2 linked regions of the Ovis aries genome follow. The protein of the gene in region 1 interacts with the protein of each later gene in a pairwise test. Links are inferred from orthologs where the notes say so. Each region holds a gene or a part of one and is shown on either strand. Other genes may lie near its edges. The genes, in order: ITSN2 and SYNJ2.

Evidence for each region.
Region 2: the proteins of ITSN2 (region 1) and SYNJ2 interact in a two-hybrid assay, tested with the Homo sapiens proteins (2 studies listed by BioGRID and IntAct). The link is inferred for Ovis aries from reciprocal best matches to the Homo sapiens genes ITSN2 and SYNJ2.

The regions. Positions count from the first base shown.
Region 1 is NC_056056.1:31,934,459-31,939,037, reverse strand, and holds the start of ITSN2 (intersectin-2), read left to right. Parts: upstream 1-1,585; 5' UTR 1,586-1,810; exon of another isoform or gene 1,811-2,119; intron 2,120-2,223; exon of another isoform or gene 2,224-2,267; intron 2,268-2,376; exon of another isoform or gene 2,377-2,601; intron 2,602-4,579.
Region 2 is NC_056061.1:82,290,081-82,294,423, forward strand, and holds the start of SYNJ2 (synaptojanin-2), read left to right. Parts: upstream 1-1,295; 5' UTR 1,296-1,352; coding exon 1,353-1,479; intron 1,480-4,343. UniProt on the Homo sapiens protein: Inositol 5-phosphatase which may be involved in distinct membrane trafficking and signal transduction pathways. May mediate the inhibitory effect of Rac1 on endocytosis.

The sequences.
Region 1 (4,579 bases):
AGGCTAACGCAAGGAAGTCAGGTTTTTCTGTGTCACTGACTCAGGACCTGTCTATCAAGTCTAAGTCAGGTCCAAATCAAAGAGTTAGGAAAAACATCGAATGTGAGAGCGGGAAAAGCCTGTTTATCATTACTGATGTTTGCTAAGTTCCTCACAGGAGTTGCCTGTCTAGTTCAGATAGGCCTGGTCTCCGGAGTCACACCTCTTAAGTCCGCTGGCTACATTTACATGCCCCAACGTGTAAGAATGAAAGGAAGACATGGGATCTTTTGCTCTGCACAGATTTCTCCTTTCCCAACAAGTCATGGTGTATGAATTTTGTACATGGGTCCATCCTACACTCCACGTGTAAAGCCAACAAAAATCTTGGGTCTTGAACCCCGACTTTGTTATGCCCATAGGAACCACCGATGCCACCTCTAACCTCAAATAACAAAAAGCCTTTCTCTTTAAGGAGTGCTGTGTCAAGGGCAAGCCCCCCATAAATGGTGGTGACTTGAGTTATTTAGTCTTTTGTGAAGAGACTAGGAGCTGAAAGGGGAGAAAAAACAGATGCTGAATTTGAGCTTCACCTGTCAGGCGGCTCTCAGGTGGGGAAGAAAGTTCAGCAAGGGGGTGGGGGGCCGCAGGTCGTGGAATTCACTGAGAGATGACTATCTTCTTACTGCTTGGCCAGAGTATTCGAGGTAGATGCCCTGCGTGTGGATGGGGGCTGGAAGGCTCCTTTCTTTTCCTTTTTTATTTGTTATAGTGAGGGACGCTGAATGGACGACTGTTGCTGCTGCCGCTGCTAAGTCACTTAAGTCGTGTCCGGCTCTGTGCGACCCCATAGATGGCAGCCCACCAGGCTCCCCTCATCCCTGGGATTCTCCAGGCAAGAACACTGGAGTGGGTTGCCATTTCCTTCTTCAATGCATAAAAGTGAAAAGTGAAAGTGAAGTCACTCAGTCGTATCCGACTCTTACGACCCCATGGACTGCAGCCTACCAGGCTCCTCCGTCCACAGGATTTTCCAGGCAAGAGTACTGGAGTGGGGTGCCATTGCCTTCTCCGGGACGACTGTTAGGTACGACGAAAGTGAGTCCTTCTGGGGTATTTGAAGGAAAGGCCCGTAACACACCCATGAGCAAAGGTGGGAATAACCTATGCCCGCCCCATCCCCATTCCAGGGGACTTGAGCTCCCAGGTGAGAGGGCTCCAGGGAGAACCCCACAGGGACTTGGGGTGGGGCGCCTGCATCAGGGACGTGCTGGACACCCCTTGCCCCTCTTCCGAAACCTTGGGGTCTGCGGTGGCAGGAAACGCATCACCCAACCCCAACATGTCACCTCGGGGAGGAGGAGCCAGGTGGGTCGGCACCCCTCCAGGAAGGGCTGCCGGGTCCAGGGCTTCAGGGCCTCCCCGAGGGAAGAGACGAGCATGTGGACCAGGCCCGCGGGGTCCGCGGCCTCGGGACTTCGGGGGTGATGAGCCGCACCCGGGCCAATTTCGGGTTCCCAAGGGAGTACGAGTCGGTGCCCGCCAGCGGGCGGGCGGGCCGTCAACTGCCCGGCCCGTCGCCTCCCTCCCCGCCCCCCGGCTTCCTGCGGAGGCCGTGGCCGCCATGTTGTGGGGCTGAGGCGGCGCCGCGGAGCCCGAGCGGCCGTGACAGGCTGCGCAACAGGTTCGCTGTCGGCGGCCTGACGACGAAGCAGGCGCGGCGGCGGCGGCTGCCGAGCAGGTCTCCCGGCATCCGCCCGCGCCCGCGCCGCTGGTGCCGAGGGGCGCAGGGTCGCGCTGTGACGTGCGGGAGGCGCGGCGGGCGCGCCAGGTGGGTGAAGCGGCTGCCCGGGCTGCGGCAGGGCGCGGGGCAGGTGCGGGCGCTACCGCGTCCGCCGCGGGGAGGCTCGCGGGTCGGGCTGGGAGGCGGCTGCGCGCCCCGCATGACGCGGAAGGGCCCTCGGGAGCCCCGGAGGCCCCCGAACTAGGCCCCTGGCAGTCTTGGCGGCGCCGGGCGGAAACCTCCGGCCCCGGGTTCCTGCCCCCGCGGCGCGGCCAGGGCGGACAGCCAGGAGCCGGGGCCGGGCTGCCTCTTCCCCGCGGCCAAACCCTGGACCCCGGCCGCGGCCTCTTCTGGCAGGTGCGGACGCGGCGGCGGGCCCCCTCGCTTTCGGGGTGTGGGCAGAAGCGAGCCAGCCCTGAGGTGCACCCGCCCGCTTCCTCGGGGCCCCATTTTATTTTCACAGAGTTGGTTTTCCTCCTTGGCAATGGTTGGTGCGGAATGTCAGGTGAGCCGCATCCCAGTGCGTCAAAGTAGCCCGAGTCACGAGAGGCCAGTGGGCGGATGCTCTGAGTCTGCCGCTCTCATTAAACCAAAGTTGGGAAATGTTACAATTTGAGTTCAGCGTTATTGACTTCTAGGGTATACAGGAAGCACGGAGAGCTGTAATCTCTTGGACCAGAGTAAAAGTTGATTGCTTTTATAATTCTTTTTGAAGACGCCTGCATGTGTATAGTGAATGGGTAAACCGAGGCTGAAATGCAGATGGCTGTGCATTTTGTAAAAAGATGATGTATTTGGATTTATTAATCCTGTGCGTTATAGTCGAGTGATTGCTGATGGCAAGTATGCTTCACTTGAGACTTGTATTAATTAGGAATATTTTTGATATAATACTTTGTGATAGGAATTAAACTTAACACAAAAATGTTTGCTTTGCTAAATGCACTAGTTTGTTTTTGCTAGGGTTTACTTGCTTACCCAGAAATAGGCGAATGTGCCTTGAAATTTTGTGTTGTCCTAGTCAGCTTGATTTAGGTAGCATAGACTCCAGGTTAAGCTTCTTAAGCCTCTTAAGAAAAGTAATTGCCTCTCTGCCTGTGCTGCTTTGCTATGTTGTTAATCAGTGGTAAAACCTAAATACAATCTAGAAACATCACGCAAACCCCTTACATAAATTAATAATGACGTCTCTCAAAATTTAAAGATAGTAGCAATTTTGATGTGCTAGGTTTCTTTGGCTGTGCCTACGATTCCCTTGTAATTTATTTCCTCCAGCTTTATTGAGATATGCTTGGCATATATTCCTTATTACTTCAAAAGTAGGTAAGGTGAAAGTTATTTCTAAAAGCTTCATTTAAGGACAAACAGAATTTTGTGTTTTTTTTGGAGGCCATGGAAAAAAATGTGCATGGCTGCTGATTTAATGTAGTAGTAATGAGCCTCACGAAAGCTTGCATTTTTTAAAATACTTTAATGCATGTAATTGTTTTTTTGCTTACCTTTATAACAAGAAATTGTTTGAGAAAACTTGACCTGTACTGAATTATTGAGGAGGGAGGTACTGTTGTTAGTTCAGCATATCTCATGGCTAAAATCCAGATCTCACTAGAATATGAGAAAATGTGTTATACAATTGCTGGGAATAGAATTATAGTTTTTAAAAATTTTGTATTTTCACGAAATCTGAATAGTAAAAGGAACTTCTATACATCCATCACCCAAACTCAGCAGCTTTCAAGACCTTCTTTGCCCATCTCTTTCTTCCTTTATTTTTTTCACTCTATAGACTTACCGTATCTCTTTTTTAAAGTGTAAATTTTCTTACATAACCTTAAGGTTTTTATCTTTAATGCAGAGTTTCAAAATTTCTATCTAGTAAGACAAAAAGACCATTTATTGGGTATCTACTTCAGCTACTTTCCTCAGTATTAAAATATATTTACCATTTTTGTCATTTATTGAACACTTACTGCCTCCCAGGCTCTGTGTTGTGTTATATAATCATTTAGGCTCACAGAGATCCAATGAGTAGTTCTTTCCCACCCATCAAATAGATAAGTGAAATGTTAACCTAGAGGTTAACAGAGCTTCTTTAGGTTAACTGAGTTACTCTAGGTCACTGAGCTAGTAAGCCAGGTTTCAAACCAAGATTCTTCTAACTTCAGCACCTGTTCCTTAACTGGTACATTCATCTTGGTCCAGAAATTTAAACAAAAGGTTATTTGGGCATTCAGTATTTGTTGAGTAAATGAATGAAAGTTTTGATACGTATTATTCCATCAATAAGTAGCATTTTTATGTACTATATTTACTTGTAAAGCATTAACAAGTTCCAGAAATGATTCAGAATAAGCTAATTACCTTACTCAAAATATGGTGGTATCTTATTACCATACAACAGTGCGTGTGCCTGTTTTTCTTTTTTTATATTCTGGTATTTTCAGTACCTTATTTATGGAAAAATGTATGGAATAACTATTAATATTTATGAAGAAAGGCTAAAAATAGGCAGACATTTTTGTGTGCCAATTGTTAAAGGCTGGATTCCAAGTGTGAAGTATAAAAATAATGTTTAGGATTAGTTCTGTAAAAGAATAGTCCTATAGATGAAGCTGCATCAGAAACGCTGTATTTTTTACTTGAGTTTATTTTTTACTTTTTACCATTCTCTACCTACAGAACACGGCGACTAAATTAGAGTCCTGTTGGGTAGTGTGCATATAGGTATTCTTGAGAAGGAGGAACTGAACTAGTCTTAAATGATCTACAGGCAGAGAGGAAGTGGGGGAGGGGGGAAGGAAACTGAGCAGAAAAAGA
Region 2 (4,343 bases), on another chromosome or scaffold:
GTACACACACCTACTATAGAAAAAGGAAATGAAACCCCCAAACCCACCCAAAGGATGACTCCAGGTAAGCCCTCTCCCCTGGACTCCTCTCCCCTGCAGACCAGTCCCAACACCCGGGCTAAAAACCCAGTGCCAAGAGGGGCATACTTCCTGTTCCTTAGCTGCCAGTCATTCTAGATGGGCCATGTGTCCTAATGGGGGATGCACGGATACATGCTGGTGTCCATATGCCTGCGTACATTCTGGCTGATTGAAGTATCCGCCATGAAGTCAAGGGCGGTACACTCAGCAGAGTGGGAGGAGGGGTTGCAAGGCGGAGGGAAAAGGCCCTTCACTCTCACTCCTGCAACCATCAGCACCTCACAGTTTGCCCTGCTTGTCACTCCCAGAGTGTTCAGCTCCTCTGAATGATGACTCCACGCCCATCCTGCAAGCCTCTGGGGCAGGTACTCTCACCATCTGATAAGAGAGAAAAGCAGGTTCAGAGAAGTCAAGGTCCCACGGTAAGCGGCAGGTCCAGAGATGAGGGGCTCAGTGTCTCAGAGATAACCCACCTTTGACTCCTGGCTACCCAAATTCTGCCTGGTGTGGACAGTGGGCCGCAGGATCCTCTGAACAGAAAGGTAGTAAAAGGCACCATGGATGGAGCACTTTCCGCTCCTCAGGCGTGCACCAAGCCCTTTGTACGGATTAACTCCATCCTCCCCTGCAACGTTATGAAGCAAGTACACTTCCTAATCCCGCTTTACATTTTAGGGCCACTGAGTCACAGAGGACAGGCGACTCGCCCAAGGTCGCAGAAGCAGGCCAGAGAGGGAGGCACAGCGCCCTGGACGGGGCTGGGGAGGACTCCGGAGTGCTGCGGAGGTCCCGGGCCGGGCAGTTTCTAGCCTAGTGGCGCCGGCCAGGCCCCGGCGGGCCCATATAAGGCCGCGGGGCGTCCAGTAACGTTGCAGGAGCTTCAGGGCGCCCCGCCGACGGCAGCCTCCTCCGCGTCCAGGAATGTGTGGAATCTTCCTCCTCGGCTGCCGCCCACCGCGGGAGCACTTCCCCTCCGCTCCCGGCCCCCATCAGGCCCCCGATCTTGCCCGAAGCTCGCCCCCTACCCACCCACCCAGCCGCGGCCCGGCCGCTGGGGGGAGCGCGGCGCATCGGCGGAGCGGACCGGGCGGCGGGGAGGCGGCCGCGCGCCCTCACCTGCCCGGGGCGGCGCGCGCGGGCGCGGCGGAGGCGGGCCGGTCGGAGGCCGCGGAACCGGCAGGGAGGAGCCTGCGCCTGGCCCGCGGCGGGGACGCAAAGTGAAACTCCTGGAAGTTGCGGGCGCTCGGGGAGCCGCGCCGGGCCGCGCGCCGATGGCTCTGAGCAAGGCGCTGCGGCTGCTCCGGCGGCTGGAGGCCTCCGGGGAAAGCAGCGTCCTGCTGGAGGCGCGCGGCCGCAGGGACTGCCTGCTCTTCGAGGCCGGCACGGTGGCCACGCTCGGTGAGTGCGGCAGGCGGTGCTGCCCGGGACTCCCGGGCAGGCGACTCCGCAGCGGCGCGGGGGGCTCGGGCCGCTTCCCCCGTCCCCTTCCCCGGGGGGGAGGTGCCCGCTGGGGAGGGCGCCTGCCTCTTCTGCTGAGACCGAGGCATACGGGCACCTCCCTTCCCCGCGTAGAGCGGTCCCGGGGGCGCGGAGGCGGCCGAGGACTGGGGGTCGCACGCGCGGGGTGGCCGGTAAGGGCCTGTTTGAATGAAGTGGCGCCGGCACGCCTCAGAGCACGTGCGGCTGCGCCCCCGGACCCAGGCTGCCCGCGGTCCCCCCTTGGGGTCTGCCATCCGCGCGCCTGCCGGCGGGCGGGTCACTCGCGAAGAGCCGCCTCTGGATTCTTCTGCCCCGCGCTCCCCCGGGACGCGTTCCAGATTCGTGACCATCCGGGAGGGTTGACTTAGGAGCCGGCCTGACCGAGCGCTTGGCGCTGTTTCTCTTTGGCACCTGTTGATGAAACACGGAATGCCCACTGCTCTGGGATGGCCTCCTTCGCTCTTGGAGGGGATGGGGACAAAGCACCGTTAACCCAGACGCCGGATAAACAGCTGATGGCACCTTGGCCTCAACCAACTGCTTGGTTGAGAAGCGTCATTCCCACAAAGTATAGAATTTGGAGGCAAATACGCGACTGGATGACTCTGTACTGGCTGTATTTGATTTTGGTGTTGCTGTTTACTCGGTCGTGTCCGACTCCTTGTGACCCCTTGGACTATAGCCCACCAGGCTCCTCTGTCCATGGAAATTCCCAGGCAAGAGTAATAGAGTGGGTTGCCATTTGCTTCTCCAGGGGAATCGTCCTAACCCAGGGATATTATGCTTGTCTCCCCATTGCAGGCAGATTCTTTACCGCTGAGCCACCAGGGAAGCCTGGATTTGACCTTAGGTAGTTGCCAAGTCTGTGTATTTCAACTCTGTCAAGACCAGCAAGTCTTGACCCTGACATTGTGTCAAGGGCTTTAGAGACGATCTCATTTAATTTTCACAGTTCTGGGCTATTATAGTGTCCATATTATAGAGAAGTAATCTGAGGCCTGGAGAGGATAAGAAACTTGCTTGGCCAGGGTGACAGATAGCACTCCCTGACTTCCAGTGGCTGTTTCTGTATTGGTGTACAGAGTGTGGCTTCTTGGAATCACCAGCCATTGGGCTTCTTGTTTGGTGTCTTAACATTCACGAGGAAGGCCAGATAATACCGACATGAGCGAAAGAAGGAAGGATTGTTGGAACTTCGACCTGAACACTGGAGAACAGGCTTACGTCTCTTGTCCAGTGGCACCGTCTCCCTTGTTGGTAGCTAAACACAGAGCGGAGAGGAGGGTCTCTACTCCTTTAGGAGGATAACCAGTGCACTTACCCCCACCACACTTTATAATTGACTCTAGTCTTTTTTTCACATTGTGCACTACATTCTTCAGTTAAATTCTTCAGTATACATCTTGGAAGGACCATCTCTTCTGTTTCCACTTCCTTAATCATTTTATTAACATACGGTTATCTGGCTTGTTTCCAGTCACTCGGTTACTAAAACCATGTCTCCAGTAGTGTCAGCACCATAAGCTGTGCAGTAAATCGTGGATTAAATTGTTATCAGATTATTTCAATTTGTACTCTAGCCTGAAAAGTCCAAGTTTGGTCATTTGCTAAGGTCTGGGGGAAAAAAAAAATTACAGAAATTTCCATTCCATTTTAAATGTCTACTTCATACCACATTTGTCAGAGCTGAGAGATTAATTGCATGGTACAAAACTACCGCTTCATCAAAGAGAGTAAAATATTTGTCGGTTGGATTACAGCAACCTTAAGAGAGTTCCTGTATTAAATTATTTAAGAGTTCCTTTGAAGCCACTGGGCTTCCCAGGTGGCACTAGAGGTAAAAAACCGCCTGCCAGTCCAGGAGATGTAAGAGGTTGGGGTTCAATACCTGGGTTGGGAAGATCTCCTGGAGAAGGAAATGGCAACCCACTCCAGTATTTTTGCCTAGAAAATCCCACGGACAAAAGGAGCCCGGTGGGCTATGGTTCATAGTGTCACAAAGAGTTGGACATGACTGAAGTGACTTAGTGCATTGTTGAAGCCACTAGGATAAAAAAGACTTTATTTTTTCAAAAGCGAAGATTTTAAAATGATTGATGAAAGTGGTATAATGCATATTTTCCATTTGGAAATTAGGCTTTTGGGCTGAAATCATGTATATTATGCTGGTGGTTACAATTCTCTGGATTCTGAAACAGGAAGTAGTGAAAGGAAGGGGTGTGGCCTCAGCTCACGTGTAGCCCACATTTGTCACCTAACCTGGCATCCATTTTTCAGTGGACTTTGGCCTGAATGCTTAATTTTTGAAGTCTTTTTTGTGTTAGTCACTCAGTCGTGTCCGATTCTCTGTGACCCCGTGGACTGTAATCTGCCAGGCTCCTCTGTCCCTGGAATTCTCCAGGCAAGAATACTGGAGTGGGTTGCCATTCCCTTCTCCAGGGGATCTTCCCCACCCAGGGATCAAACCCAGTTCTCCTACATTGCAGGCAGATTCTTCACTGTCTGAGCCACCAGGGAAGACCTTTTCTTACATTCAGTTCAGTCTCTCAGTTGTGTCCGACTCTTTGCGACCCCATGATTTGCAGCACTCCAGGCCTCCCTGTCCATCACCAACTCCCGTCTATCGAGTCAGTGATACCATCCAGCCGTCTCATCCTCTGTCGTCCCCTTCTCCTCCTGCCCCCAATCCCTCCCAGAATCAGAGTCTTTTCCAATAAGTCATGAAATGGCCAAAGTACTGGAGTTTCTGCTTTAGCATCATTCCTTCCAAAGAAATCCCAGGG